Lepisosteus oculatus: one gene and its partner. The protein of the gene in region 1 purifies or fractionates together with the protein of each later gene. This does not show direct contact. Links are inferred from orthologs where the notes say so. Each region holds a gene or a part of one and is shown in the gene's direction. Other genes may lie near its edges. The genes, in order: calpain-1 catalytic subunit-like and cast.

Region 1 (15,508 bases):
CTGATATAAAAACCGATGGCTTTAGCTTGGAAACGTGCAGAGTCATGGTCAATCTAATGGATGTATCCTATCTCATTGAGTTTTTATTACATCAAGCATGTTACCAAAGTGAGTCATATTTTTTAGTAGTTTCCTATAAAACAAGAAAGGCATTTTATGGATATGGCCAGCAGCCATATCACTCTGTAACTCACAACTGGCAACGTACTGAAGCTAAGCAGGTGTGAGCCTGGTCAGTACCTGGATGGGAGACCTCCTGGGAAAAACTAAGGTTGCTGCTGGAAGACTAGGCGAGTAATGATTGGCTACAGACATCTGCTTGGTCTGCGCCTTGGCTGCGCAGTCGAGCAGGTGATAGAGGTTGGGGTGCCCAGATGGTAGAACTGTAATATTTGTCTTCTCTAGAACTGATTAATGTAAGACCCTACTCGCTGGGGTACCTAAATCCATTCTGAACAAAGTTCAGTATGTCCTGACCAGCAGCCATATCACTCTGCAACTCACAACCCACTGAAGCTAAGTAGGTGTGAGCCTGGTCAGTATCTGGATGGGAAACCTCCTTGGAAAAACTAAGGTTGCTGCTGGAAGAGGAGTTAGTGGGGCCAGCAAGGGGTGCTCACCCTGCAGTCCATGTGGCTCTTAATACCTCAGTATAGTGACGGGGACTTCGGATGAGACGTAAAACCAAGGTCCTGACTCTCTGTGGTCATTAAAAATCCCAGGGCTTTTCTCGAAAAGAGTAGGGGTATAACAACAGCGTCCTGACCAAATTTCCCATTGGCCCTTACCAATCATGGACTCCCCACCTAATAATCCCCACCTATGAATTGGCTTCATTACTCGGCTCTTCTCCCCACTGAGAGCTGATGTGTGGTGAGCGTTCTGGCGCACTGTGGCTGCCGTCGCATCATCCAGGTGGGGCTGCACATTGGTGGTGGTGGAGGGGAGTCCCCATTACCTGTAAAGTGCTTTGAGTGGAATGTCCAAAAAAAGCGCTATATAAGTGTAAGCAATTATTATAATTCTTATTATTTTATTGTACCATTACCATGAAATGGTAAATTTTAAAGATGTAGCTATTTAGCAGTAAAGTGTCATGAGCTTAAGTCTTGAGAGTTTTGTGCTGGGAGGCTTGGGGCACTGCTGGCGCAGCTCGCTGTCCCAGGACAGCAGGTGGACCTTAACTCCCAGGCAGGACAGTGGCAATGGCAAGCTGGGAATGGCAGAGTTCGCCAGCCTGTGGAAGAAGATCCAGAGGTACCTGGTAAGAGCTTTTTTGGGAATTCAGATCTTCGCACATACAGTATAATATTTCCAGACATCCCTTTTACAAATACTTTCTTATGGTGTCTTCCAGAGCATCTACAAGAAGAACGATCTGGACGGGTCTGGCACCATGAGCACTCCGGAGATGCGCATGGCCCTGAAAGAAGCAGGTATCTGACATTAGAGGGAAGAGTAGACTGATGAAGGGGAGGTGCTGTGTTTCCCTAAACATGTATATAAAGGATTAATTGGCTTTGCTATGCCTTTTTTAATAGTTGGATTTCTACTACAGGTGCTTATAACAGCCAGTGCAATAGCTGGTGTAGCACATGCACTGTAGCCAACTATATAGCATCCACTCCTGTGAGTTTTGGAAGACTTGAGAAGTCATGAACACAGTGTGTTGGTGGAGCAACTCCCAGTGTGAAATTTAAAAGACTGAGAGTGTCTGCATAGCTAGGAGGGACTTTGTACTGTGAATGTAGTGCCCACTGGGCCAGGAAGTAGCACCACACGAGATAAGGCTGTGCAGGAACTCCAAAAGAAAGATCATAGCTATTGGGTAGATTTTATGCTTATATTGCAGAATCAAATGACCAGACCAAGTTGAGCTTCTGAACATAAAATCTGTTATGTTCAAACTGCAACTGCTGGCGAGCAGGGACTACTGTAGGATTTACTGTATGTCTGATCTAAACTAAAATCTTCTGCATGCCTGGTCTCCTTACACAGTAACCATGCTTTCCTGGAGCAGAGGAAATTAAGAGCGTTATTTACTGCACCATTTCATTTAGCATAGAGCATGAAGATCTTGTATCATAATGACTAACTACAAATAATGACAAACAGATGTGGCAAATAGCCTTCTCTCCTTTGTCACTGAAGAGAGGATGCTGCTGACCGTGTGCTCTTTTCCTTTGACCAACAGGTTTCACCTTAACCAATAACATCCACCAAGTCCTTGTGGCCCGCTATGCTGAACCCGACATGACTATTGACTTTGACAACTTCGTGGCCTGCCTGATTCGTCTGGAGACGATGTTCCGTGAGTTCCCTTTTTCCCCTTGAGACTCTGGCGTGCCAGTGGCTGGGAGTGATTTTCTCAAAAAGAAACAGAGCTGAGCGACACTAAAGGTGCTTCCTGAGGGGCTCGGTCTGCAATGTGATCTCTCTAGCACAAGCTGAGCTCTGTGATCACGGGTTTGAACCCGGGTCACATCAGTAGCAGACAGTTACAGGGATTTCCCAAGCGGTAGCACACTGTGGTGGGACACTGCCGAGTGCACGATGAGATTGCTCGGCCAGGGTTTTCTTGGCTCTTGTGCAGCGACGCCTTGACCCTGCGTCCTCTTGGTGCCGTCGATGAGGCTGGGCTTCTCCAGTCCACCCGCAGGGCGGTGCTTCTCTCTCCGTGTTCTCCCCTGTGTGCCCTTGTGCATCTCCTGGCTGATGAGGCCAAATTGGAACTTTTTGGTCTGAATTCTTTGCATAGCGTACTGTATAACGCAGATGCAACCCAGCACATCTGTCAGTCAGCACCACCCCTACAGTGGAGCATGCTGGCGGCAGAATCACACTGGGGGGAAGGTTCACCTCAGTGACTGGGAGGCTTGTTAGGACTCTTGGAAAATGGACAGAGCAAAGAACAGACAAACAGAACAGGAATACCTCTGTCTATCTGCTAAAGACCTAAAACTGGGGAGAGAATTAACCTTTCATTAGGACAGTGATCCAAAGCACAAGGCCAGAGTTACTTAGGAGTGGGTTAAGAATAAGAAAGTGAATGTCCTTGACTGGCCCAGACCTTCCTTTGGGAATCTGTGGTAAGACTTAAAAACTTTTGGCCGTAAGTGATCCCCAAGCAACGTGAGAGCTCAATCACTGAAGATGGAATCATATCTGCATTAAAGAGTGGGCAGAGTTCCTAGAGACTGACCCAAGAAGACTAATTGCTGCCGAAGGTGCTTCCATCAAATATATATTTCATAGGTCTGAATACTTAGGCAATCAACATATTTTAGTTTTTGCTGACATGTATTGTAATTCATTTTGCTCTAAAAGTCTTGTGTTTGAGCATTCAAGTTCTGAATCAAATATTTATTAGAAATGTGTATGTGTAATTCTATAAATGTAACAAAATGGAACACCACAAGAGGGGTCTGAGTAATTTTGCTAAGCATTGTACTGTACTCAGAGTTTTTCATCACTGTGTAAATCTTAAAAAGCTTAAATATCAGGTCTTTTTCTTTCATTAGGAGTCTTTAAGAATGCTGACACAGAGGGAACTGGGGAAATAGAGCTCAACTTTTACCAGGTGAGACATCCTTCCTGAAGTGGAACATAGTGAACGAAAGATATTGGCTCTTCAGAAAGTAAAACATGTTCAGGCTGCAATAAGCTGTTATACTGTCAGCAGGGCTGCTGCTTTGGAGTTTCCATAGGGGAGGGTAAGACATCTACACCCCTGGCTGCAGACTCCCTTCCCCTTTCTTGAAGAAAACATTCAATGGGCACTTCACCAGAAAGAGAATAGTGCACATAATAACACTGTGAATCTTTTAAAAAATCTTTCCAGGAAAAGTGGATTAATCGTGGTATTTTTTCAAGTTTCAGTTAAAGGAGTGTTCGTAAAAGTGTTCATAAAAGTAATTCCCTATATTTTTAGTCTTACCAAGCTAAGCACACGTCCACTGAACAGAACTGAACCAGATCTAGAGTTCTGGGAGTGTTTAGTGTTCAGGAGCTTTTCCTCAGTGTCTGCACTGGCACTGGCAGCCATGTCACCTTGCAACTCATGACTGGCAGCCCAATGAAGCAGGTGTGAGCCTGGTCAGTACCTGGATGGGAGACCTCCTGGGAAAGCTAAGGTTGCTGCTGGAAGAGGTGTTAGAGGGACCTGTAGGGAGCGCTCACGCTGCGGTCTGTGTGGGTCCTAATGCCCCAGTATAGTGACGGGGACACTATACTGTAAAACAGATGCAATCCTTCAGATGATATGTAAAACCGAGTTTTGGTGGTGCTGGAGGGGTGCACCCATTACCTGTAAAGCGCCCTGAGTGGAGTGTCCAGAAAAGCGCTATATAATTGTGAGGAATTATTATTATTATTATTATTACCAGTTAGGTGACACGGCAGGCAGCTTCTGTATCCCAGGGAAAGGTGAGAGAGTGCAGCCTGTGGCCCATGGCTCACCAGTGGCCCTGGAGAGGTCTCATGTGTGCTGCATGTTTCAGATGTTTCCAGATGTTTAAAATGTGCTTTGTGCAGCTCTTTCCAGCCTTGATAAAAAAATTAAATTGTTACGTTCATCAAATGTGTTCATCTCACATTTAAATTAGACCTAGTCAAAGAAACCAAAGTCCAATATTTCCTATTAAAATCTTGGTCTATGTTTCATTTAAAAATAAATGTTTCTTGCATCATTGGTGCTGATTAAACATAATCTGCTCTGTGGAAAGTTAGGGCCTTCAACAGTGTGCTGTGATTGGAAGGGGTTTGGGAGGCTCTGAGGCAGAGACGGTGATGGAGAGTGGGGTCAGACTCCCAAATGCCCATTACCTCTCGGAGGGTTTGGGTGGAACACTGCGGGGACATGTCGAGACACGACCGCAGAGCCGGATACCACACTCACGTGCTCCATGTTTGTCTCCCCAGTGGCTGACTTTCACCATGATCTAGAAGACCTCTGGCCAAGCCTTCAAGCAAAACGGCAAAACCCCAAGGCAAAGTGACCAAAAAGACAGGAACTGTTGTTATTGTTGCTAAAATTACGTTTTTTTGTGGATACGAATCATTTTGAATGCTGCATTATATTTTATGTATTGGACAGAATGGACATTAAAGTAGGACAAATCTTGTTTTGGAATGGAGCACAGCAATAAATCTGTTATAACCACTACAAAACTGGGTACTGCCTTTTTGTCTTTTAATTTAATTTTAATTTAACTCCACAAATTGTTTCTAGATGTTGACTGCTGTATTTAAGACACAGTGATCTGTGGAGGTTTATTCTAATATTCTGCATTTTCCATCTGTTTAGCATGTTCCTGATAGAAGGCATTTATAGTTAATTTATATCTTAATGCTATTAAGATATAATATATTATTCTTTGAATATTAATTGTTTACTGTACATATTGTTGAAAAATTACATAGATCTACAGGAAGGAAGTATTGGTTAATTAGAATTTCTTGATTAGATCATTCTCTTTTCTGTGGTCAAGTTTCCAACACACACAGTCAGCTCCCTGCTTCAGTCGATGTGTCTTGGTTTGGGATGAATTTTAAGATCCTTGTTCAGAAATGCCACTGGCTGTGTGCAGGATCTCTCACCTTGGAAGCCATAAGAGTTAAACAGTGGATTCTTCATTCTTCATTAATGCTTCTGAACACTGGTAACCATACAATTCTGGCCCTTCTGAAGGAACACCAGGTTTTATTTTTAACTATCTTCATGTTAAATGTAAAGATATATTCAGCATTTGAAAGACAGATGCAGTCACATTGATATGTATTTTTTATTGTAGTGCTAGAGCTCTGCATACGTTTTCTGTTACCTGCCATCCACCACACCTACCCTTTGAAGCTCTAAACTGTGACCAGTGCAGCTGTGGTTCTGGATTAAAGCAGTTGTTCCATCCCAGAGGCACCTTCCTCATTCCTGCTCGGAGAGCCGCCAGCAGGTACTGCGCTTTCGAGTAAGGTCATTTGCCAGTGGCAGATGGGCCCGGCTTGAGAATTGACAACGGTCCTGCTGGGATCTGCTCCTGCTGGGTCCTGCTCCTGCCTTTGGCTTCTGTGTAACCAAGGTATCTTCAGAAAACTTTCAATTTCATGGTGAAAAAAACAACTTGATTATAATATGGACCTGATGGTTGTTCGAAATCTGCCATATGCTCAGGCTGTTATTCATAACTTTACTCAGTGTAAACAGTTGCCTTACATATAATCTTTGTAGAGCTGAATGCCCTAAGGCAACTCCACACATGCATGTTTTGATTTATAATCCATTTAAATTTCTTGAAACAATTACTTCCGGTGACAGGACAGTAGGGTGTGGAGTGTGGCATTATTAAATAGCTCCAATTAATTACAACAGAGCTTGTTAGGGTGTTAAATGTTAAATGTAGCTTATCCTTTTTTATGCTCTTATTCACAGTTGGTATCTGACAGTAGGGAAAAAAGTGAAGGAATAGTATAAAATAAAAATGTATGAAAGGTTCTTTGATGATTTTAATCTGCAAAATGTAACCTTCACAGGAGCCAGGGAACCCACTGCTAATTTTAAAAGACATATATGGTTGAAATATAAAAGTAATGAGACTATGCCAAAGTATTCCCTGTGTGGCTGTGTTTCTCACACTTTCTTTCAGAAATATGCAATTACTCCCCACCTCTTTAATATGCCACAGACAGCATCAGGAAGAAACAAATACTGATATTATATTAGTGATATTAGTATCAAGAAGAACACAGTTACTATTAGACCTAAACACTTGCATGTGGTTGGTATCAGGAGTCTGTTTTCCCTGGTGTGTAATAACTCAGACCTGTTTTCTGTGGTGACTGTTCTGTTAGTCTGGTGCTGCCTGTGGAGAAGGACAGACCCTTGAACTGAGGGCACTGCAGAGATCAGAGAGCACTGGACATCAGGTCTGCTTGTCCAGTCTGATGGAGAGAGAACTCTGAGGGACAGAGAGGCACATTGCAGTTAAAGGTAGGAGACCACTGTCTTTACTGTGAGGGTACAGAATTTCAGGGAAATATTCTAAAGTCTTAATCACTGTTGCAGACTGATAAATATTTACTGCTAACAGTACTTAATGTGAATCTTCCTCCTTTTAAAAGTTAAGATGCCATTTAGTATGACAGTGTTCTGCACGGCAGTAACGTGTAACTTAGCAGTTCACTCTCTGTCTGTGGGAGAAAGTGTGACAGTCTGACCTTGAGCCTGATAATACACGTCTTGGACACGTCTTGGCCTGTCCTCTGATAGGACACACCTGTGTGACGTCAGAAAGTTGCTGTCAGCAGTGTGCAGGAGAAAGCGGGGAGAAAAGTGAATAAATTTAAAGGTTCAGGTGGAGAATCACAGTAGAGAATCTTATTAATAATCTGCTTCTTGGAACCTCCAATCAGCTTTGTAAAGCCAATGCAGTTACCCTATTTGTGGATGGCGCTGTAGTTGAATTTCAATCTAAATTCAAGAACTTGGGGTGATATTTGATCCAGGCTTGATGTTTGACCAGTATATGAAAAATATTGTAAAAACATAATTCTTCCATTTCAGGAATATTGCCAGACCGCATTCTATATTGTCTCTGACTGTAGCAGAAAAGCTGATCAACACTTTTGTAGTTAGGCTGGTCCACAGATCAGAAAACAGGGAATAGACCCTTTGCGGGTTACAAGGTCACAAAGAACCAAAACAATGTATGAGGGTAATCCAAGGCCAGACTCAAAAGGTGAGCAGGGAGTCCAGAACCAGAAGGAGATACATGAGTGTCAAGGTCCAGGAACACGATCCAAAAACTCAGAATCAAGGGACAGGCCAAAATCAAAAACCCAGGTAAGCAGTCCAGGGGGAAAACAAAAGATCAGGGGCCGAAAAAACACCAAACTGAGGAAAACCAATCCAGAAAGCTACAGACAAAACTCAGGAACAATGATAAGGTGAACAAGGAACAGGGACGTAAACAGGAGTAGGAGACAAAATCAGGAACAAGGGAACAATGTACCAAAGTCTCAGACTAGCACTCAGAGTAGTGGCAACAATATTGAGCACTTTTTGAACCTTGCGCAGGGTTTATGTAGGCTGGAGGAGGGGAGGCATGGTGAGCTACAGACATCTGGCTACAGACATCTGCTTGGTCTGCACCTCGGCTGCGCAGTTGAGCAGGTGATGGAGGTTGGGGTGCCCTCTGGTGGCCAGATGATAGAACTGTAATATTTGTCTTCTCTAGAACTGATTAATGTAAGACCCTACTCGCTGGGGGAACCTAAATCCATTCTGAACTAAGTTCAGTTTGTCCAGAACTCAGCAGCCAGAATTCTGACCAGTTCTCGTGTGCAAGTGATCACGTTACTCCTGTCCTGGAGTCCTTGCACTGACTTATTGTGAAATTCAAAATCCTCATGCTCACCTATATATTATGCCAGCAGCCATATCACTCTGCAACTCACAACTGGCAACCCACTGAAGCTAAGCAGGTGTAAACCTGGTCAGTACCTGGATGTGAGACCTCCTTGGAAAAACTAAGGTTGCTGCTGGAAGAGGTGTTAGTGGGGCCAGCAAGGGGTGCTCACCCTGCAGTCCATGTAGCTCCTAATACCTCAATATAGTGACGGGGACACTATACTGTAAACAGGCGCTGTCCTTCGGATGAGACGTAAAACCAAGGTCCTGACTCTCTGTGGTTATTAAAAATCCCAGGGTGTTTCCGAAAAGAGTAGGGGTGTAACCCCAGCGTCCTGGACAAATTTCTCATTGGCCCTTACCAAGCATGGCCTCCTAATAATCCCCATCTATGAATTGCCTTCATTACTCTGCTCTTCTCCCCACTGATAGCTGATGTGTGGTGAACGTTCTGGCGCACTATGGCTGCTGTCGCATCATCCAGGTGGGGCTGCACATTGGTGGTGGTGGAGGGGGGTCCCCATTACCTGTAAAGCGCTTTGAGTGGAGTGTCCAGAAAAGCGCTATATATATGTGCAAGTAATCATTAATTATTATTATTATTATAAGGCTTTACATGGCTTCAGTACCTGTCCACAGCCGAAATGTGTTTTCGTTCTTCTATTTTCAGCATGGAATAAACCTATTACTTTTCCCTTGTAAGCTATCACCCTACTCCCCACCTCACAACCTTCATTTTTCTGACTCTGCTCTCCTGTCTGTCTCCCAATCTTGTCTACATTCAATGGGTGACTGGAGCTTCTCCTGCTGCGCCCCAGAGCTCTGGAATTCTGTCCCCAAGGATATCAGGGAGACACCTTGCCTTGCTTTCAAATCCAGACTCAAAACCTTCTTTTCAAAAAGGCTTTATTTAATTCATTCCTGTATCTGTTCCTTTCATCTTCTTCTGCATTTGAATGGCTTGTGTTCATTTGTGTTTATTTTAATTAAGAAACTTGTATTATTATTATTAATATGTTGGCTGTCATTGGACTATTATGTTGTCAAGGTACAGCTGACGTGCGCTGACCCTGTTCCTCAAACAAAACTAAAACACTGTACATAACTGCCCAGTGTGTCGTAATAGAATACCTACGTCTAGGTCTTGGGAAGACACTTAGACGAGGGTATCGGCAGTGTGTCCACAGTGGCAGATCAAATATCAGCGCTCACGCTGCCTCGTGCAGGACGGGAGGCTGGGTCAGAGCTCTGCGGGCACCCCAGCCACCAATCTGTGTTCAGGGGTCTCGGCGCCGGCTCCTCTCCCCTCCCCCCGTCAGCTGGGCAGGGCTGGGCTCCACACTGCAGCAGCGCCGCTCTGAGTGCGCAAGTGTGCCGGTGCCTGTCAGCCGAACACCCGAGCGCAGGTGAAGACGGTGCTCCGCAGTGGTGAGTGTCTCAGCCCGGCAGCCGCGGACAGGTACGCCTGCTGCGGGCTGCTGTGGTTAGGATGAGTAGTCTGCAGGTTTAGGTACGCTGTTTTGCTCTGATCCTTTACTTTCTGATGTTGACTGAAATGCACATACAGTTAAACTGTGTACCAGATTTATGATTATGTGCTGGTAGGCTTGTGTTTTATTAAAGGTTCAAAATGTTATTCGTAAGACCTCCCACTTTGATTTCTTTAGAAGATCTTTATTGACTAGGCAGTCGGAAGCTTTAGAACAAAATGTCTTGTTTGAAAACCATAAAAAGCATGTGGGTTATTTTTCAGTTAATTTAAGACAAGTTCCGACAGTATACAGAGACGGTGTGATGTTTATTGGAGGGCTCTGCTCCGCAGTCGGCAGAAAGCCCTGTTGACAGGGTGGGAGAGCCGGAGCTCCAGTCCCACCGGGCAGCGCGCAGATTGTCCAGGCAGCCTGTCCGCGCTCTGTGCGCTGATCGTCTTTCGATTTGGACAGTGTTGCGGAACAGAGGCATGTAAATATAAAACACTGCTCACAAACACGTGGAAAATATTGCCGTGCTTATGCATGACCCCGAAAAGCCAAAGCTAAACGAGTCTCAGTGCCCTTACGTCAGCTTTGAACAAACGAAGCCATGATGAATCCGAGTCACTGCGGGAAGAAGCTCAACTGCATTTGACCTGGGAGAAATCGTGCTGTGCCTCTGCCAGAACCAGGTCTGCTGGGGAAAGCAGCGCCCCCGTTGGTTCAGATATTAATCTGTACGGCCTTTGTCTTTTTTATTGTTGTGATTTCTTTCCACTCAGAACAAACCGCTTTGCAGTCTTCTTTATGACTAGCCTTGGGGAAAGGGAAAGATAGGATTAATTTTAGTTTGTGCCGATTTCTTTTAACTTTACAGTCTTATTTTTAAACTATACACAACGTCGTTGCCATGAGAATACTATTCGTATAAATTACCATGAATTAAAATTATTTTTCCTCCAGACGACAGCTAAGCGAAAACCGTTTTATTGACCGACGCATGCGCTTGTGGTTTTGCTCGGTAAAGCTGATTGCCGAGATGAAGCCGCTTTGCGCAGAGCGACTAATGGGATGCAATTAGATGAGCTTTCCGCTGCTATGTTTGGATTCCGCCCTCATGCACTGGTTGCTTATAAAATTCGGATCTGCATTTTAAGTAAAAATAAACACTTATAGGGGACCTTAGATCCTCCAGACCCTGTTTCCTTGAGTTTTTTTCCTACTCAGGACATTTTTAAATCCCTGAAAAAAACTATACGACTTACTGTACACAAGTCATAATCAGCATTTTGACTTTATTGCTGTTAAATGACTTAGTTTTCTTAGGAAAGGATGTCTGAGGAATCAGAATGAATAGATCGTAACTACATAAGTTGTATAAACACAAATGAGAGAGAGAAAACACAAAATGAAAACACAAATGACAGAGAGACCCATCATATTTAAATCCTACCTTTTCTAAAACAGGAATGTTTACTTAAATCTCTAACCGCTGTCCCTCACTCCATGGAATAGAAACATCAACATGCAGTCATGGGTGGTACACATTAAAATTAATTGGTAAAACAGTATTGTAGGATAAAACAATATTATTGGACACATTTTAGTTATGTATACTAATTAAATTAGAAGGATTAGCATTACATGGTTCTTGCTATGAGACCACAGGCGATTCAGACCTGTCTCGTTTCAAGGCCCACATCCCTGTGCGAGGCAATCGGGCCCGTTCATGTGGGAGACAGGTGATTAAACACAAACCTTCAGTTCTGTCACTTATGCAGCTCATTGGAAAGAGCTGAGTGCCAGCGTTTTAGTGCAGATTCTCCATAAGCCAGTTAATTAAATAGAACTATCTTAGTGTGTACAGTAAGATTAACATTCACGTTTATTTTTTCATCGTATGGAACGGAATTCTGTTTCAGTTGTGTAGTTCTGAGCTGCTGTTCTGAAATTAGATGAACTGGCTATGAAGAGCAGTGACATGCTGTAATAGATTGTGGTCCCTCTGTCAGAGGATTCACCACAGCTCATCAGGCTGTTTTGGTACTGGGAGGTGTTGTTGGCCCTGACAAAGCTCTTCAGAGTCAGCAGATAAGCATGAACCTGTAAACACAAATGTTAACTCAGAGGAAGGACATTTAAATTTGGAAACAAGAGGCATTGATTTAGACAAAAGGGTGTAGGAGTCTGCACTGAGCCAGTAAGCCATGTTGTTGAAGCTGGTACCCTGGCATCTTTCAGGATACAACTAAATGAGATCATTGGATCAATAAGCTACTAACTACCAAATCCACTGAATGGCCTTGTTTTGTTTGTAACCTTTCTTAAGCTCCTATGTTAAATCTTTGCTAGCTTGCACAGATTCATAATTTATGATGCTAATGAAAGATTTATGGTCATACTGTTCTACAGAGTAAATTATACTAATGGTTTTTCTTAGACATTTTGTATAGAAAGGAAGACAATCATTTTTGGTGCTTTCATTTTCCTGTAGCAGAGCTGTGCTAATCATATTTTTTAATTTCTCTAAGGAGTAAATTAATATATACTGATGGAAAATAAAAACCTACATACTCTGGCCCTCCTGTCTGCTCGGAACAGGCTGAAGAGTGACTCATCCGTGGACCTGATGCTGCTGCCGATGAGTCCATCACAGCCTCTGTCTGGCCCAAGCCAGTCGGGTGTGACATATAGGAGGTATGAGCAGAGGGCCTCTGACAGGTCGCAGTCCTGTCACTGATGTAGGCATTGTGTCTGCCGGCAGTTTCAGCAGCAGTACGGGTGGCAGATCTGAAACAATTTCTCAGATGGTCTGCTGAAACCTTCTCTGCAGTCGGAACACAGTGGAGCGGTTTACTCCCTAGTGTCTGGCAACGCTGGCACATGACATGCCTGCCTGCAGCATGGCAGTGGCCTTCTCTCTTGCTTCTGGTGACATTCGAGGCATTATGGAATGCACAGAAAACTGACTGTGTGTGGCCTTTTTCTTGCAGTGACCTAAGCTTTGAATTAAGGCCTTTTTAAAGGTGACCTGATCAAGCATTGTTCCACCTGCACCGCATTGGGTAAAAGTGCACCAAACGAGCTTTCGTGTGATTGGCAAGTTGCAATGCCTCACTGCACCAGCTGTATTGCTAGTCAGAGGGCTTAAACAAATTGACAACTTTTTGTGAAAGTACATAAGCTATCACTATAGTATTCTCATTCAAGAAAATGCTGCGTTTCTTTTTTCCATCAGTATACTGTATATTGGTGCTGATAAATCTGCCAGTTTCCGGGAGCGCAGCCCCTCCTGGTGTTCGAGGTGAGGAACCAACATCTTTTTGTTTAACTGGTAATGGTGTTTTCCTCAAAAGAGTTAACTAAAATAATGTAATTCGACATCAAGGTGAAACAGACTCCTTTGCTGGAGTTTTGACTAAATGTTTTTACAAATTTAATGTTTTTGACTCAAATTCCTGACTGTGTCCCTCGCACAGTACTGCAGAGACTGTTCCAGGCAGTTTGTGAAGGCTGGCATTTAGATGTCTGGTCTCTGTCAGTGGCTGAGTGAGAAGGAGAGAGGGGGGCTTGGGTTACCCTGGGCTCTCTGGGCTCACTGGGCTGCTGCTCGTACAGTAGCTGCTGGCAGCCTGACATCATGCTTCACCTGCGGAAAAACACTTTCAGCATTCCTGCACAGTGCAGTGGCACCTGGCAGGTCTTGGGAAAGACATGCCAAGTCTTATTAGCTTTCCTCGAGGGAGGCAGAAGTGCCTGTAGCTGCTGAAACCATATTGATTTAAAACGAGAATAAAATGTAATTCATCAGCAGGTTATGGGTAATTGCTGCATCATCCTAATGGCTCACAGTGTTTTGCAGAAAATTGTAAAAGCAGAAACTCAGGTAATGTTTTAGTAGACAGGCATTTCATGTCACAGGATTCCCAGTTTTTCTGAAGTGTTTATCACTTTGTAATGGCTGAATATCGATGATCTGAAAATATAGTTACATTGCAAGACCAGATACCAAAATACCTGTCAAATAGTTAGAGATCCAACAGCCCTGGTGACTGTGCTGCAGGGCTCTGGGTAGCAGCTGCCCACTGTGTGTTTCTGCTCAAGGACGTGATGTGCTATGAGCACACGTATAGTTCTGTTGTCTTCAGTAGCACATGATGAAGATAAGAAATATTCAAACTTTTTAAAAGATCTACTAATGTTTTACTTTCTAAGATTTACTAAGAAGAACTCAGTAAATGTTCTCCTACTGGGAACTGAACAGGGTTTTCACAGCACAAGAGCAGGATGTGCAGCAGCATGTGAGCATGATAAAGGTACACGTGAGCACAAGCCCTTTGTGTGAAGAACTCTTCATGGTATCAGTATTAAATGCTCTTCCCAACGTTTCCACTTGTGTCTGGATCATGTTTCATTGCTCATTCTGCAGATGTCCAGGGGTCGACTTTCTCAGTGCTATTGAGGATTTTAAATAGGAGTCAAGCAGTGTTCTCGGTTCAGGACTGAACTATTTTGATCTCCTAGCCTGGCAGTCTCAGAGGGTCTAAAATCTGACATAACTTCTCTTCAAGTTATGTGAAGAAATGTATTTGGTAAATAGGAAAATGGACCCCAAAAGAGCAAAGATAAGATTAAGCCAGTCATGGGCTGGGTGTCTGTGAGGGACTAAGGTCCTCTATACCTATAAATATACCAACAGCTGGTCTTTTGATTCAGTTGCTGTTGCTCAGTGAGCGAGAGTGTACTCATAGCAGGTGGGTGTCACATTGATTAGTACTGACTTCACCACGTGCAGTGTGACCGGTCTGCAGCTCCCTCCTTCTCCAAGTTTCAGTGGAACTCCTGTTCCACAGGGCCTCAGTTCCGAGTACATCCCAGTTTGCCAAATTCAGCCCTTCCAGCGCCCGAGGTACTTGACTGGCTGTGTGAGGTCTGTCGGTGTGCCAGTGGGAAAGTTAGACCAGCAGCTCAAATGCAGCCTGCAGTCCCAGTGGCAGTTCTGGCTGGATGAACCCCTCTGGAGTCCTCGCATTTAAATTCTTAAAGCTTCAAGCTGCTGTTTTTAGAATTTAAAGATAGGCATTCTGGTGACTAAAATGCTTTATAAAGGTTTACCATTTTTAACAATAAAATAAAACCATGCAGTTTGTTCAGATCTGACCTGCAGGATCTGAGTGACTCTGTGGCACTGCTGGAATGTGACACAGCTGGATTTCTGCTCAGTGTGGCACTAAACACTGAGACCTTCACTGGGGGTAACCGGAGGTGCTAGAAATTCCTTCTCGCGTTGTGTAAATATTTGAATGCTTCTCTGACAGCTGTGTTAGGAGGAATTCTAGCAGCCTAAGCTATAAAAGAACTGTACGTGTTTATTCTACATAGACAATACACTGATTAGCTGCAGATATACAGTATGGAGTCATAAGCACTGTATATTAGTAGCTTATAAATATCTGCAAATTACAAATGAAGTTTTCTTTCTTCAAGCCTGCTGTGGCCCAGAGAAAATTTGAAGGTAACAGATTCATGTTTCTTGCTGTGGCTTGCTTCTTTCTTTGTCTATGTTTTAGTGCCTCTCAGAGCGAGTCCTTTTCCATTCCGAAAATATTCCCTTTTTTACCTTTTTTTTTCTGTT
Region 2 (15,758 bases), on another chromosome or scaffold:
TACACTAACCAAACCAGAGCAGAAAACTGAGGTGATCCGACAACTTCCCTTAAGACTTCAAGTACCAGCTGCTTACCATTTTCCGGATTCTCTCCATGACGGGGTCGATCATCTCCTTGCCGATGGTGTAGTGGCCGCGGGCGTAGTTGTTGGCAGCGTCTTCTTTCCCGCTGATGAGCTGCTCAGGGTGGTACAGCTGGCGGTACTGCCCATTTCTCACCTCATCTGTAAAGGACAGATCCAGCTCGGACAGGCGCCAGGGAAACTGGCATCCAGGACAGTTTCACTTCATACATGGACTCGCAGCCATGAGCTTGGAAGAGCAATGACTCCAGTTAATCATTTCCCTTTCAGCTCACGGGCTCTCCAAGCACTTCTATACACAGAGGTGCCTTTCAGCCACTGAGGAACTGCGACTTGATACTTCGTCTGAAGCTGCAGGCCTCCTTGTGACATCACTATATAGTCCAGTTTCAATGGCTACAGCCAACTGGGCCAACCTGTGGCTCCTTCCTCATCCTCCTGGTTTCACCTCAGCTGGGCTCTCCTCTTGCTGGCCATTGCAGGTTAGTCCTTTTACAGGCATTTAAGCATGAAGGGCAAGTTCCTCACATTTACAGGGCTGTACAGTACAGCAGTCCAGGACCAAGAACGAGCACTGGCTAAGAGCATTAAGGCAACAAGGGCTGAGCCGAAAACACTTCAGGGATAGTACAGTGACTGGTGCCAGCAAGAAACCTACCAACAATAAGGACTGGGAATGAGCTCTTAATCTGAAAGGCTTTCAGTCTGCCCCCCCCCCCCCTTTGACTGGCATTAAAATAGACCTTTTTGTTCAGAAAGAAAAAGGTAACAAATGCAAGAAACAGACCATTAACATGGAGCTTGTCATTGCACGAATTAACAATTAAGAGGGACGCGTTTTATTAACAGACTAAAAGATGCTAATCTATCAAAACACAGAAAAGTACTAAAAACACCCCCACCGTTCCGGAGTGCGTGGAGTCTGTTCCCCGAGATACATTACCAATGACTGTGGGCTCCAGGTCCACAAACACGGCCCGCGGCACCTGCTTCCCCGAGCCGGTCTCGCTGAAGAACGTGGAGAAGGACGAGTCCACGACGGAGGGGCTGTTCGGGTCCGAGACGGTGCCGTCGGGCCGGATCTCGTGCTCCAGGCAGAACAGCTCCCAGCAGCCATTGCCGATCTGCACCCCCGCCTGGCCGACATGGACCGAGATACACTCCCTCTGCGGGGCGAGCGAGCACACGCAGCGGGTCACCAGCGGTACCGAACCGCGGCGCCAAGCTCACCCGAGACGGTCACATTCGATATCGGAAGTGGACGAACTGGGGTATTCTTTGAAGGGGTCGTTTCTTACTAGGAGATCAACATCAAACTCTGCGCCAAGAAACTGAAGTAATACAGCCACGCTGTAATAAGTCATCTCGATTTGATTTTGTGTTTATTCGTGTCACGATTCCCCCCCTTAACACTTTTGTTTACCGTGTACGAAACTTTAGAAAGCGTTTCATCATTTATCGGGGCTCTTAAGGATACGCGGATAAACTAGAGGTTTGGCCCTTACCATCTTCCTCACTTCTGCGTCGATATCCCAAAACGACCGCTGTGCGCGCCTCCCTCTGATTTATACATCCTCGCACCTGCAGGTCGTTGGCGGTGCACCTGAGTGCCCAATCACAGGTACCGCGGGACATTAACCACTCAGCCGCTTCTCTGCGGACAAACGTGCTCTTATATCAACTGTTAAGAGATTTCCGATACTGTTCGTATATGTACTGCTCTTTGTTGACTGTCGCTCTGCAAGAGTCGTGTTTAACTGGGAAAGATACTGTACTACTGTCTTTATAAACGAGGAGAAAACGATTGTCTCCGAGTAGATATACTTTTTCTAGCATGGGTATTGGGGTTTAATTGTATATTTGAACAGATAAGTGAGGAAGTCTCCGATCTTTAACAGATGGAGTAATGAGTGAGTATTATACAAGTATTCATCCCAAGAGACGCTGAGGGCATCAGCCTGGTGGATGAACGTGTGCACAGCAGCAAGCGAGCATCGGGACGCGACCAGGAGTTTAGAGGACCCGTGCTTAAGGCTGACACCCAGAGGTATGTGTTCACTCCAAGAGTAGTGTGGAATTAGAAAAAACTGTAAACCACACTTGTGTGACTTTCCTTACAACTCTAAAACAAATGTGCAAGATGGGTCAATGAGCCCAATCTGGTTTGGCCTTCGATTTACATGTCCCTGACTGTTTTATGATCATTGTAAAGGCATGTGCTTTGTTCTATATAAACAACACTACAGGGTGCTGTGTCTTCTTGATTTTGTGCCCCCAGATCTCTTGCTTATTTTGGACTGGGTGTTTCTGTACTCAGTCCGTGGTTTCAGACAAACCCCAGCTCAGCACACAACGCTCAGCACAGTCTGTGCTCAGCTTGTTCAGTAAGAGTTTCCTCTCCTGTTTCTCTCTGCAGTAGTCCCAGCAGATGCGAATGACACTGCATCAGACACGCCCCCAGGTCACACAGGTGAGTGAAGGCAGGTCTGAAACCCCCAAGTTAGTACGTTTGATACTGTTTACAAATCGCCTTTGTAAAACTCAAAAGTGAATGTAAAAATGTGCCGGGTAGAAAACTGAAATCTATTGGCCTGCAATTAAGATCTTGGCTGGAACAGAATATAAACTATTATTAGTTCAAGTAATAGGTTTATTCCATGCTGAATAGAGAAGAAAGAAAACGCAACGTTACCTGTTCCTTTGCAGCATGCCGACGCAGCTACCCACCTGAACTATTATGAGTTCATTTGCCTGACAGTGTTTTCCAAAGCGACTTGCAGCTGTACCCCTTTAGACCGCTGGTCATCTTACTGCAGCGTTCTGAGGGCGCTGCCCAGTTCGGGGGTACTACCGCTCAGGGTGTGAACCCACAACCTCCCAGTTCTACGATCTGCACTCCTAAGGACAACTCCACACTAGAGAAGACACGCCCTCCCAGGGATTCGGTCATGGTGAACAGAATATCTCACATAAATATAACACCATGCTAGCCTTTCTCCAAGAGTGTACCGTGGGTTTACCTAGCTTAGGTACAAACAGAAAGCCTCCTAAACTACATCATTTAAATTCTAACTCTTCACTCTTCTTTGATAGTCTGAACACTCGACTGCAAAATACAGGGGCCTGACTCATAAATCCAAGGTCCCAAAACAGTCTGTAGGACCCAAAAGAGAAGAAAGACTAAATATACTTGAGTCCAAAGGCACACCTAAGGAAAGTCGCTGACTTAGTCATGCAGCTGGAACAATTCAGGAACTTTTAAACTTCAAAATGAAAATGACAATGTCTTCTGAATCCACTAGGGGGAGCACTGCTTCCTCATAACACTGGAGACAATTCAGGGAGTAAGACTGCTTTGAATTCATGGGCTGGGCTGTGTTCATGTTGAGCATTGCAACGGAGCCGGGAGTCTGAACCAGTGAGCAGACTGCGCTTGTTACAGCAGGGGGCGTGTGCTTGTCTGGATCTTCTCATACAGACATCTGAAACTGTCCCCTGGCCTGTCCAGAGTTGCCAATATGGACCCTTCACCCTTTTATTCATATGTGAAAGCCAGAAGCAGGTCACTGCGTTGTGATTAATCAGAAGCCCACCTAAGGCACAGGGGAGTTTGATATTCCTCTTTTAAAATATTTCACCCGGGCTGTTTGTGTGGAAAGTGCCAGTAAGAGATTCTCTCAGATGCCCTTGGCTTTGTGATCACTTACTTCCATGACTCGTTCCTGTGTAAAGTTGACAGAGTTTTGAAAGACACTCGCGTTTGTTGCCTCATTCTGTCAAAGCTAACACTCCCTTTCTGCTTCTCCTGCCAAAGCGAGAGAGCACCACGCCTACCAGCCCCCGGTCAAATCAAACAGAAACTGGCCTCTTGTTTTCCTGTGATTCTGAATCAGGCTTTACCAGGCCTGGATTCACTACACTCAATGCACACTTGACTTTACCATTAGTGCTCTTATTTGAAATGAAAAGTGCTGAGTGCTCCAGCGTAGTTTGTGTCCACACTAACCAGGCCTGACGTATCCGCCCAGCCCGAGTGCTCAGGCCAGAGCAGAGCAGAGCAGGCATGAGGCAAAACCACGGTTCACACGGCGTGTTGTCGGTCCGCCAGCAAAGCGCTGTTTGCACAGGCGTGCTAGGAAACGCCAAGGGAAGCCGAGCTCCTTGGGTGAAGAATCTCAGGAAGTCCGAGCCGCTTCTCCCACAGGCCTGCTGTGCTCCGAGCGCTGAGCCAGGCAGTCGGCTCCGGACTGCACACAGCAGCCTCTGGACAGGCAGGAGCCTGTGAGCTGGAGTGGGGGCAGGTCGATCGATACGCTGCGTACTTGTGCAAATCCCTTGGTCTGAGTTTTTTACCTTTTCTTCAGTTCAGGGAGCATGAATGAATGAATGAATGGTAGAGATATAATTATGTGTTTCCTGTATTTTAGTGTATGACTTAAAAAAAGTAAAAAATACAGAAGAGGAGGAACACTTTATTCACCTTGCAAAAACTGTAGAACTAGGAATCTTCACATTGATTCAGCTCATCACCCCCAAAACAAGGGAACCCCAATACACCCTCACATTTCCCCTGAGTGCTCAGTCCACCCCTGCAGTCAGAACACACAGTAGCGCTGGGTTCGTCTTTTGGACACTAGCTTACTATTGCTATAAAAATAAGTTTGATCCAGTTTTTATCCTGTGTTACTCTACAGAATCTGCCTTTCGTTTTTAAATTAATATCCACCACCTTAAGAACACATGAGGAGGTTCCTGGTTCAAACCTCAGCTGTGCCCCTGTCTCATGACTCTGCAGCAGCAGCTCATGAACGCGGTAGTTTTCCACCTATCTTCTGTAAGTCACTTCGGCTGAATGACTCTCCGTAGAGCAGGCTCTGTGCTGCACGAACGTCTGTGGCATTCATTCTCTTAGATCACCACTGTCTGACCAACTAGGGATCTTTCTGAGGAAGAGCCACTTGTTGAGGGCATGTTATTCTTACATGGTACATTCACATGTGAGCTCACATTAGAATCAGAATTTACTTTCCAATACAAAATGTGTATATACTGTATTGAATACATCAATCATTCAGTGGATTTTACAGATGTATACAATCAATGTACAATAAACATCAATACAGTACAGCTCAAAACCATAAGATTCAGGTGTGAGCTGCATTTTTCTACACTATATGCTGTCAAAGCAATGCTCTGAAGAGGCCCCTACATCAGAATTTAAAGGAGTAACAGGTCTCAGAATGACTGAAATACTTTTAAAAAAAATGTGTGTCCTTTGGTCCTCTGAAACGTCATTCAGATGGTAGTTTTTCACATCGGGAGTGAAATGGAGATGAGGCAGCACTATTGGCACTGCTGGTGTAGACGTGGGTCAGCCGGTTCTGCTTGTGGCCAGTCATGGTGCTGCCCGTGTTTGTAATCCATGAGAGCTCGGCTCTACCCCCGACACTACAATTCCCATTTCACCGAGCGGAATGTGTTTAAAAGAGCAAGGAAAGGTTTATTCCCTGCTGAAAAGAGAAGAAAGGAAACCCAGTGTTTAAAGGAGCTCACTCTCTGCCAGACGTGTGTAGGGCAGCTCTGGGTGTGTTTCCTTGCATCAGAGCTGCTCAACCTTCTCAAGAGTGATCATCTCTGCGTGGCTTTTAACAACATGTCCTGTGCTGTCTGAGAAGTTTGTTATCAGATATTTTAAAAAAATATCCCTTCACAAGCTGCCTGCACTCCTCCAGGCTGAATCTCGACTGGTAGGATGTGGAGGCACAGATGACTGAACTCACTTCTCAGGCCTGTCATGCTGAGGCTTGCCTGTGCACTGAAGTTCACACCTGAGTTCAGAGCTATCTGAGCGCTGATAAGGAGTTCTGACTCGTCACCTGTTCAAGACAAACATTAAAGACTCTTGTTTGCCTGATATTCCTTGCACAAGCTTCATGTTCAAAAGGCAGCAGTGTATGTTACAGATACACAGAAAAGACACCCGATTTGAATTTCTAAAGGGCACTCCCTGTAGCAGAATTAGATTATATAAGGTTCGTGTCACGGATGTCACTCCATGCACAGAACATGACACGGCTTACTCATAGCGCAGTCCAGGACCAACAGGTCCCAGAACCCAGTGTCCCAGAGGAACAGTCCAATAGCATTATTCTCCAGACCCAGCTCCACTCAGTAACCTGGTTTGCCTCCTGACACCAGAGCGGAGACAGTGAAGTTCCAGGACCCTCCTCAGCTCTGGGTGTCCTGGACTCTGTGTTCTGGTGTTTCCCTTCTGTCCTGTGTATCTCCGAGTCCAGTTCCAGGTAGAGGAGGCTCCCTGTCACTGGTGTGTGATTGAGTCCTACAGAGTCTGATTGCTGCAGTCTCTCCTGCTGTCCTTTCTCCTTCCCAAAAGACCTCGGCTCTTTTCAGACTGAGGCTTTTCTAGGGCTGCCCAACAATGCTGTAGATTCATCCCGAGAAGCTTTGGGTGTGGGCAGGCTCCCTGCCCAGGGCGTGTTCAGGAAGTGGCTGTACTGTATACAGACGGCCAGGTGTATCAACAGTTTGTTCAAGCGCACCCCGTGCCCGTTCTCGATCACAGGCACAGTCAAACCCCAACATGTTGCCCCCAAATCGTTGGTAATTACTTGGGATCTATGCTAAGAGGACCTTGTACTAGAAAACACAGAGGATAAGGCGTGAAATTGCATCAACACCAGGGTGTTGCCTGCGATGGACTGGCACCCTGTCCAGGGTGTACCCTGCCTTGTGCTCGTTGCTTCCTGCCACAACGTATGGTATAAAGCGGTTTGGCAAATGACATGACTAGGGTGTCGCTGGCCCATTAGGGCAAATTGGCATCACACAGCCCTTGACAGCCGGTCCCTCCCCACACCCACACCCTCTCTTCACTCTGCCATTCACTACAGACCAAGGTGAAGAGTGCAATGGAGTTTTTTGCAATGTAGTGGATTTCCCAGTGGAGCCAACTGGAGGACTGTACTGACTCAGGCACAGATGAAAGTGTAGTTGTGCACAGTGTGTGTAATTGAGTTTGAAGTGTAAATTGCACAGGTGTTAATTGTAATGGAATGTTTCAGTTCTCACTCTGGGTTTAAAGAATATTCTACCTGGCACAGGCTTTCACTGTGTCAGTGCTGGTGAGACACAGTGTGGCTGTTAATAATGATAACCTTCCTTTTATATAGCATCTTTCATGCTACATCACTTCAATGTGCAGTAAAATAATCATTATCCTGGAATCTCTCTGTAGAAGGACAAGGGTTTGGAGTGCAGAAGGGGCAGACAGAGAACCGATTAAGTCCAATTCTTTCGGAAGGTCTGGAAGCGATCAGGGAAGCTGACTGATACTCTTGATAGACTGATAGAATTCCAGAGCCTTGGGGGCGTTAAAGTGTTTCATTCTATGACATTGTGCACTGCAGGAGCTGGTCATCGATTTTAGAAAGCAGGGTGGGGACCCCACCCCTGTTCACATCAAGGGGGTGGCTGTAGAGAAGGTCAGCAGCTCCAGGTTCCTGGGTACCTTCATCACTAGTGATTGAACGTGGTCCCAGCATGTAACTGGAGCTCAAACGAAGGCACAACTGCGCCTTTACTTCCTCAGCCAGCTGAATCAGTGTGGTCTGTCTCCAGCGGTCCTGACCACATGGTACAGGTGCGCTGTGGAGACTGGCTCACGTGTGGGAGGACGGTGTGGCTTGGCAGCAGCTCGCTGTCTCACCAGAAGGGTTACAGGGGGCGATCAGGTCAGCCCACTCCATCACTGGGGTACAGCTCCCCTCTATTTCAGACATTTTCACTACTCGCAGCCTCAGGAAGGCTGGAAGTATCGTGAAGGACACCAGTCATCCTGGTTCCTCACTGTTCTCCTCCCTTCCCTCTGGTCAGCGTTGTAGGAGCAGAAAGGCACCAACTTCCAGATCCACAGAGAGCTTCTTCCCACAAGCTGTCAGATTACTGAACTCTACCCCCACCACCGGCTCACACTGATGGGTTCGTTTTTTTTCACTAAGATGTTATTTAACTTGTTGTTGTTGCCGCTGTTTCTGTCCGTGTATTGGAGCACACAAGCAAATAAGCATTTCATTGCACGTCTGCGTGTGACAGTGTACTGCACTGAGAGGGTCAGCAGCTCAGCGGTACTTCATCCCGAGAAGGCGGTGGGAGGTCGCGCGCCGCTGCTGCGCTCGCGGCCCGGGCAGCTGGGGCAGCTGGAGCAGCTGGGAGAGAGGCGGTACCGGAGCGCCGGCAGCAGGGAGCCTCCCTCGGAGTCAGAAACGTGAAGCGGAATAATTAGGTCTGAACCACTTCAATATGCGCTCCAGCATGACAGGCGCCCAGGGCGACGCTTGCACACGCCTCTCGGTAGCGATAGCCTGCCACAGGTCCGGCCTATGAAGTAAATCTATCAAAACCTAGCGCTCGGTCTTACTTTGACAGCGGGAGGGGCGAATCCTGGTTAGAAAGTCAACTGTGTGTCAGGTTGGAAGTCTGTCTTCACAGGGCGAGTGCTTGTTACTCATCCGTGCGCACTTGCAGCGATGCCGAACAAAGGCAAACACAACCGTCCGAAGAAGTCGAGAGGGGTAAGTGATGTCGCAGCAGGTATTCTCTCCCCGCGAATGCGTGGCGTGGTGTCAACGGCCCCTTCCTGCCGGGACGAGCCCGGCTCTCAGTGCGAGATTCCCGAACACCAAGCCGGGGCCCGGCGACCCTGGACGCGGCCGGCCCCCTGGCCGAGGGGCGTCAGTCGGTTTTGGCAGGGTGGTCTGCGCAGGGACCACGGACCGGCGGGGATAAGGGTTTCTAGGACTGTTTCACACAAGTTTACACAACTTCATTGTTACACAAGTTCACTACTCCGTAGCGACGCGGGGGGAAAACGTGACAATAATACCTCCGCTCGTGTCTGTTGGAATCTTGCACAACGAGGTTAAAATTTGACTCTTTTTTTTTGGCAATTCGCCTCTGCCCGTGGTAAGAACGTATTCCCAGACCGCCGGGTAATTAAACACGTTGGGTGTAATTATTGTCGTTGAGTTTTATATGTGTGTCGGTAAGTATTGTCGTGTTCTTCTCCGCCCCGCCCCGCCTTGTTCGGTCAAAATGGGAGACTGATTTTGGAAAATGTAGGAATTTGGCAGCAGCGCCTGGAGGAGGGGCAGGGTGACGCGTGAAGAGGGCGAGGGTGCGGGGGGGCGGACGGGCACGGCCCGTGGGACTCGGGGAGCGCGGACAGGCTGGACGAGTGGGCTGACTGGAGGAAGCCCGTCCGGTCTGTGCGCTTCCCGGTGCCCGAGGCGGCAGGTCGGAGACTCGGACTCGTCCCTTCACGCCAGCGCGCTGACGCACGGAGCCGCAGATGGCTTATGCGAAGTATTGGTCCATGACAGTAAGTGGCGTGAGGAGTCGCAGCTCGGAGGCTTTCGTTTGGGGGGCTTCGGGGTAAGCGTGAGGACCAAAAAAAAGAGCGGAGGTTTGTTTTCTCCCTCCGGGTCCGGGCAGGCTCGCTGTGACTGCAGGGGCTGGGTGCGCAGAGCGCGATGCCCGTGCGTGTGTCTGCAGGATGGCTGACTGACAGCAGTGCTAGCGCTGCCGTTCCTGCAGGCGATACGCGCTTTGTGCGCGGAGCCTTGAGCAAACAGTCCTCAGCAGCACCTGCTCCGCGTTCGCAGGAAACTCCCGGCGCTTCTCCAGAGCAGCTCCAGCTCCGTGCGGGGAGCCGCCCGGGACTCTCCAAACACTTCAGAGTCGAGTTTTCACGAGAGGCGTGTCTCTGGAATACGGACAGTTCGTGTGTCTTCTCCTTTGCCTTAGTCGCTTGCTGTACATGTTAAACGCCCCTGGTTTAGAGCCGTGATTGGGAAAGTAACAGCCTTAGTCTGATTCACTCTGATTTAAGATTTAACAGCGGTGTAGAAGTTGCAGACTCGATACTTGGATTAGGTGCAGTGAATGAAGCGTCTTTGCGCATTGGTGCCTCTAGGGGCGCTAACAAAGCGTGTCTCGGCATTCAGTCTGCAGAGAGACACCCGAAAGGACATACGAGTCTCGACACAGAGCTGCTCTCTAAGTTCAGACTTATTACTGCTTCAAGCAGCGTGTGTGAGAACACAGCGATACCCGGAGGATTGCAGCACAATACTCCACCTCGTCCATCTCATTTTAAGGAGATTGTGAATGATTTCTCGGCATCAGTATTACTATTTATTTTGTACTTGAAATATCTTCAGGTAGCCTCATAAGGTAATGCAAGCAGTAAAGCTATTCAGCGGTTTCACACTCTGCAGTATGTAAAATGCACTACAGATGACGCTCTCTAGTTTTTCCATACTGCTTTCCCCACAGTACAAATTGGTTTTAATATTTAAGTGGAAAACATGGCTGGGAGGCTGCATCAAATGCAGTTTTTGCGCGTGACGTGCTGTGAAATCTTTGGTTATTCGCAGTGTCTTACTGGAAAGTTAAATACTGTGGTTCCAGTATTATCTACTCACATAAAGAGTCAGAGAGAGGGCAACACGGGTTGCAGACCATTTGTTCCCTTACTGAACTGCAGCCTGGTCAAGGAAATGTGCAGCATGAAGCAGTCCTTGGTTTTGGTGCCGCTGTGGTGGGTCGGAGCAGTGCCCTGGTTACCAGCAGTGGGTCCAGTTTCTTCAGGGACCAGAGCTGCACTGCAAACTCAGCCTGTACCACTGTGTTTCTTTCTTCCAGCTCAATCAGAGCGAAAAACCACAGGCGGAAACTGTTGGAAGTGCATTTAAAACCAAGAGCAGGAAACACTTCTTTACACAAAGGGTGGCGGGTGTGTGGAACAAGCCATGTTGTTCAAATGGCTCACTGGTGATCACTTGATGTATTAACTCCCTGCCAAGCCGGCCACATTGGCCAAAAGGCTCCCCTTGTTTGTTACTGTTTTTATGTTCTTGAAAATCTCACCAGTAAGTTTCAGGATTATTCTGATAGGCTCGGGCAATAAGTTGCACTTTTCGAAAGCTGAGATCGGAAACAACTGCAATATTAAACTGTTGTTGTGACTCACCCCTGCTCATATTTCAAGCGTTGCTTGAATATTGTACAATATTGATGTTGTCATTTCCAGATCTTTGCAATTACTTTGCTGGAAGTGCACGTATTCATTTCTGCATTTGGGTCCACAGACAGTATCCAGTCTGCAGAGAGCACTGTTAAGTATCCATTGTGCTGTCTGTGGTGTGCAGTATTCAGTATCCAGTGTGCAATGCACAGTCTGTAGTGCAGCATTCCTTGCATTGCTGTGCTCTTTACAGTAAGGCGTGGGTGCAGGGCTCACAGGTTATCTCTACACAGTGAAAAGAAACCAGGTCAAAACTCACCATCAGCTCTTCCGGGAGTTTTGACCTGGCAGTGAAGGCACTGAGGGAGAAGGCACTCAGGGCTTTCTACGCAATAAGAAGGAGGCTCTTCAACATCAACCCACCAACAAGAATCTGGCTCCAAATATTTGAAAGTGTAATCCAACCCATTGCCCTATACAGCAGTGAAGTTTGGGGTCCCCTCACAGACCAGGATTACACCCAATGGGACAAACACCCCACAGAAACTCTGCACATGGAGATCTGTAGAATCATCCTCCGTGTGCAGAGAAAAACTCCTAACAACGGGTGCAGGGCCGAATTAGGCCAGTACCCACTATTGATAAACATACAGAAAAGAATATTAAAGTATTGGCTACACCTAAAAAACAGTGACCAAAATTCCTACCACCACAAAGCCCTGCTGAGCCAAGAGCTGAGCCCAAAACAGAGCCCCCTGAGCCAGCTGGTCCTGAGGCTCACCGACCTGAGCCACACCAACACTAACCAGCCTCAGGACAGCACTGCTAGAGCACCACAACCCAGACTCAACCACATCACAGCACAGATCAAACAGCAATATCTCACACACTGGGACACACACACACAAACACAACATAAACTGGAATGCTACAGAACCTAAAACAGACAATACACATATTTGACCAAAATAAAAAATAACAAACAGAAACAGACCCTGACGAAGTACAGGCTCAGTGACCACAACCTGGCCATAGAAACTGGGCGACACAGGCAGACCTGGCTGCCCAGAGAGGACAGGCTGACTGCCAGCAGGGAGAAATAGAGACAGAGGTGCACTTCCTACTGCACTGTGACAGATACTCTGGGTCAATATTATATAATATGTCTTTGTTGTAAATGTCTGTAACATGTCTGTAGATTTTATTTTACTTATATTTTTTGTTTTGTTCTATGTTAATTTTATTATTTTTATTTGCTTTGGCAACACTGATTGTACCTATCGGTCATGCTAATAAAGCACCTTGAATTGAATTGAATTGAAAAGAAACCACTGAGTCAACATTCTCCCCTGGACGAGTGCAGCAGCAGTTAGTGTTGCTGGGATACCTCCAGAAACTTGTACAGTATCTTAGATAAGATAAGATCACTTTATTGGCCCTATACAATTTCTTGCATTAGGATTTTGTCTTTTTGCATACCCCAGCTTGCTCTCCATGAGACTTGCAGGCACACAGACGGGGAGAGAGGGTGTTCACACAGACAAGTTAGGACCCATTTTGTGGCCGTGGTTTGTTTGGGCTCTTCAGGAAATGTACTGCTGTGTGTTTCAGATCGACAAACTTGCTGTACTGTTGCAAATCACACAGTTTATAGTGATGTACTGGAGGGAAATGTGTGTCTGCCTACAGGTTTAGGAAAGTGTAGCTCAGAAAGTGTTGCTGGTCAGTTTTTTTTAACATTGTAGTTTCTGGATAGCATTCCGTGTCCCTGTTTCACATGATCACACGTTCCTGTTTCTTGTTCCCCTCACATCTGCCTCGCTTTCTCTTGATCTTAATCCTAACGATGTTGGTGGTCGGAGCTGTAGGAGTGCTGCTCCAGGCAGGGCTCCCTCTTGGAAAGAGCAGTTAGCAGAGCCAGTCAACCTATCAGCTTGTCTTCGGGATGTGGAAGGACATTGCAGCACTCGGGGAAAACCCATGCAAACACAGGAGGACACATGCAAGCTCCACGCAGAAGGCTCTGCAGGCAGGAGACGGACCGGGACCCGAGATGTGTGAGGTGGCAGCAGTGACGGCGGATGTGTGCCTAACCCCAGCTGTTTGAAGACTCATTGTGCTTTCTCTGAAGGCCGTGAACAGAGGCCGCTCTGATACAGCTATGCAAATCCGTTCCGCGCGAGCGACCTGACTGAGCGCGGTGCCCTGCGCTCTGGCCCTGGCCTGCCGCGGGGGCCTAGCCGAGGTGCCGTGTGCCTGCCTCGCGCCTGACGGGACCAGCCTGCCAGCCCGCTCGCCCTCCTCCAGCAGCTCTGCTTCTTCCCAGCCCCGGGGCCGTGTGTCCAGCTGGGGGTGTTTGCTGCTTTCAGTGCGTCTGTCCTCTCTGCGCCTCTCCTGTCCTGGGACTCTGAGGGCAGAGGCTTTTAGCTCACTGTGAGAACAACATCTGGATTCCTGGAGCACTGTGAGGCTCCAGCGGCCCTCTCTCAGGTCTTCGGCGTGAGTGGAGAGATCAGACTGTGGGCTATTCTCATACCTGCTGCTCCTGTTCTGTAGATTGGAGAGCACCTGTGAGCTGAACCCAGGAACCCCAGTAACACAGCAGCCTGCTGCCTGCTCTCTTCCCTTGCTTTATCAAGGGCTGGAAGCCAAGGGGCAGAAGGGCTGGGCAAGTCCACTCTGCTCCTAAACCAACAACCGCATGTTCATATTGTTATCCAAGAAAGAGGAGGGTTTTGTTACATAACGAATGCCTTGTGAGTCTGTAGTGGTGACTTGAGGATCACGTGGTTAGGACCAGGGAACACAGAGGATTTAGGATTGAGAATAGGAAGCAGTTCTCTGCACTAATAGTGGTGGGTGTCTGGAGCAAGAGGTGCAGACATGTTATTTAAGCTGATTCCATCAGATCATTAAAGAAACCACAAAGTGAATAAACTACCAGCAACCTGCACTACTAGCAGTGACTATAAATGAGCTGGATGGGCATCACGGGCCCCTCTCACTTGGAACCTTTCTTATGTTTCAAAGTTGCTGCATTTATCAAAGCAGAATCGCCGCAGCTGAAAAAGATTAATTGATGTGCATCAGTGGCTCCAAGGGTGTGTTTTGGCGATATTCAACTGGGCGATTCTGAAATAGCTGCATCTCAGTGCCTGCCCCCTGGGCCAGGAGAGCACTCCGAGAGGCGATTACAGAGACCTGCTGAGAGAGGAGGAACTCCTATTCCTGTGTTCGTGGGACTCAAGCCCTGGTGTTGAAGCACACTGACTCCGTTCAAGAAATGGCTGATACTGGGGACAATTAACTACTAATCACTGACTGGGTTAGACAGGCCGAAAGGCCTCCTGTCTTATGTGCTTAGATCGTGCAGCGTTCTCCTTCTCGTGATCTCAGTCTTTTAGGAGCAGTCTGTTCATTATTATTATTTATTTATTTCTGTTGTAATTATTACCCGGCTACCCTGGCCCTCCTCGGGTGGCAGTGGGGCTGTCTGTGTTCCCAGCATGCCGGTGGGGCCAGGCCGGACTGACGCCTGTCCGTTCTCTCCCACAGCAGGCGGAGAAGAAGGCCCAGGCGGCGCCGGCGGGGTCGGCCAGAGATGGAGCGGCTGCTGCAGCACAGGTCAGAGGTCACGCCGGTGGCGGGTCAGGAGGAATCGGCCCTTTCTTCAGAAGAAGCTCAGGAGGCGTTTTATGAAAACAGGCTGTAGGCTCTGGCAGCGCTGGCGGGTCAGGCAGGCTTTAATTCGATGGATGGGCTGTATAGTTCTGGGACAGGGGCGGTACAGGGCCGTGTAGTTCTGGGACAGGGGCGGTACAGGGCCGTGTAGTTCTGGGACAGGGGCGGTACAGGGCCGTGTAGTTCTGGGACAAGGGCGGTACAGGGCTGTGTAGTTCTGGGACAGGGGCGGTACAGGGCAGTGTAGTTCTGGGACAGGGCAGTACAGGGCCGTGTAGTTCTGGGACAGGGGCGGTACAGGGCTGTGTAGTTCTGGGACAGGGGCAGTACAGGGCAGTGTAGTTCTGGGACAGGGGCAGTACAGGGGCAGTACAGGGCTGTGTAGTTCTGGGACAGGGGCAGTACAGGAGCTGTGTAGTTCTGGGACAGGGGCAGTACAGGAGCTGTGTAGTTCTGGGACAGGGGCAGTACAGGGCAGTGTAGTTCTGGGACAGGGGCAGTACAGGGGCAGTACAGGGCTGTGTAGTTCTGGGACAGGGGCAGTACAGGAGCTGTGTAGTTCTGGGACAGGGCGGTACAGGGCTGTGTAGTTCTGGGACAGGGGCAGTACAGGGCTGTGTAGTTCTGGGACAGGGGCAGTGTAGTTCTAGGACAGGGGCAGTACAGGAGCTGTGTAGTTCTGGGACAGGGGCAGTACAGGGCTGTGTAGTTCTGGGACAGGGGCGGTACAGGGCAGTGTAGTTCTGGGACAGGGGCGGTACAGGGCTGTGTAGTTCTGGGACAGGGGCGGTACAGGGCTGTGTAGTTCTGGGACAGGGGCGGTACAGGGCTGTGTAGTTCTGGGACAGGGGCGGTACAGGGCTGTGTAGTTCTGGGACAGGGGCGGTACAGGGCTGTGTAGTTCTGGGACAGGGGCGGTACAGGGGCTGTGTAGTTCTGGGACAGGGGC

The links.
Region 2: the proteins of calpain-1 catalytic subunit-like (region 1) and cast purify together in Homo sapiens (co-immunoprecipitation; 4 studies listed by BioGRID and IntAct, counting the BioPlex papers as one, with this or other methods). This does not show direct contact. The link is inferred for Lepisosteus oculatus from reciprocal best matches to the Homo sapiens genes CAPN1 and CAST.

The regions. Positions count from the first base shown.
Region 1 is NC_090712.1:379,286-394,793, reverse strand, and holds the start of calpain-1 catalytic subunit-like, read left to right. Parts: upstream 1-9,588; 5' UTR 9,589-9,829; intron 9,830-9,844; exon of another isoform or gene 9,845-9,911; intron 9,912-15,360; 5' UTR 15,361-15,388; intron 15,389-15,508. Other genes in the region: calpain-2 catalytic subunit-like, read left to right, coding at 1-62, 1,196-1,264, 1,358-1,436, 2,195-2,311, 3,522-3,580, 4,921-4,944. UniProt on the Homo sapiens protein: Calcium-regulated non-lysosomal thiol-protease which catalyzes limited proteolysis of substrates involved in cytoskeletal remodeling and signal transduction. Proteolytically cleaves CTBP1 at 'Asn-375', 'Gly-387' and 'His-409'.
Region 2 is NC_090698.1:74,410,236-74,425,993, forward strand, and holds the start of cast (calpastatin), read left to right. Parts: upstream 1-8,357; 5' UTR 8,358-8,630; coding exon 8,631-8,675; intron 8,676-9,354; exon of another isoform or gene 9,355-9,451; coding exon of another isoform or gene 9,452-9,481; intron 9,482-14,683; coding exon 14,684-14,752; intron 14,753-15,758. Other genes in the region: tubulin alpha-1B chain-like, read right to left, coding at 77-225, 1,028-1,250, 1,590-1,592.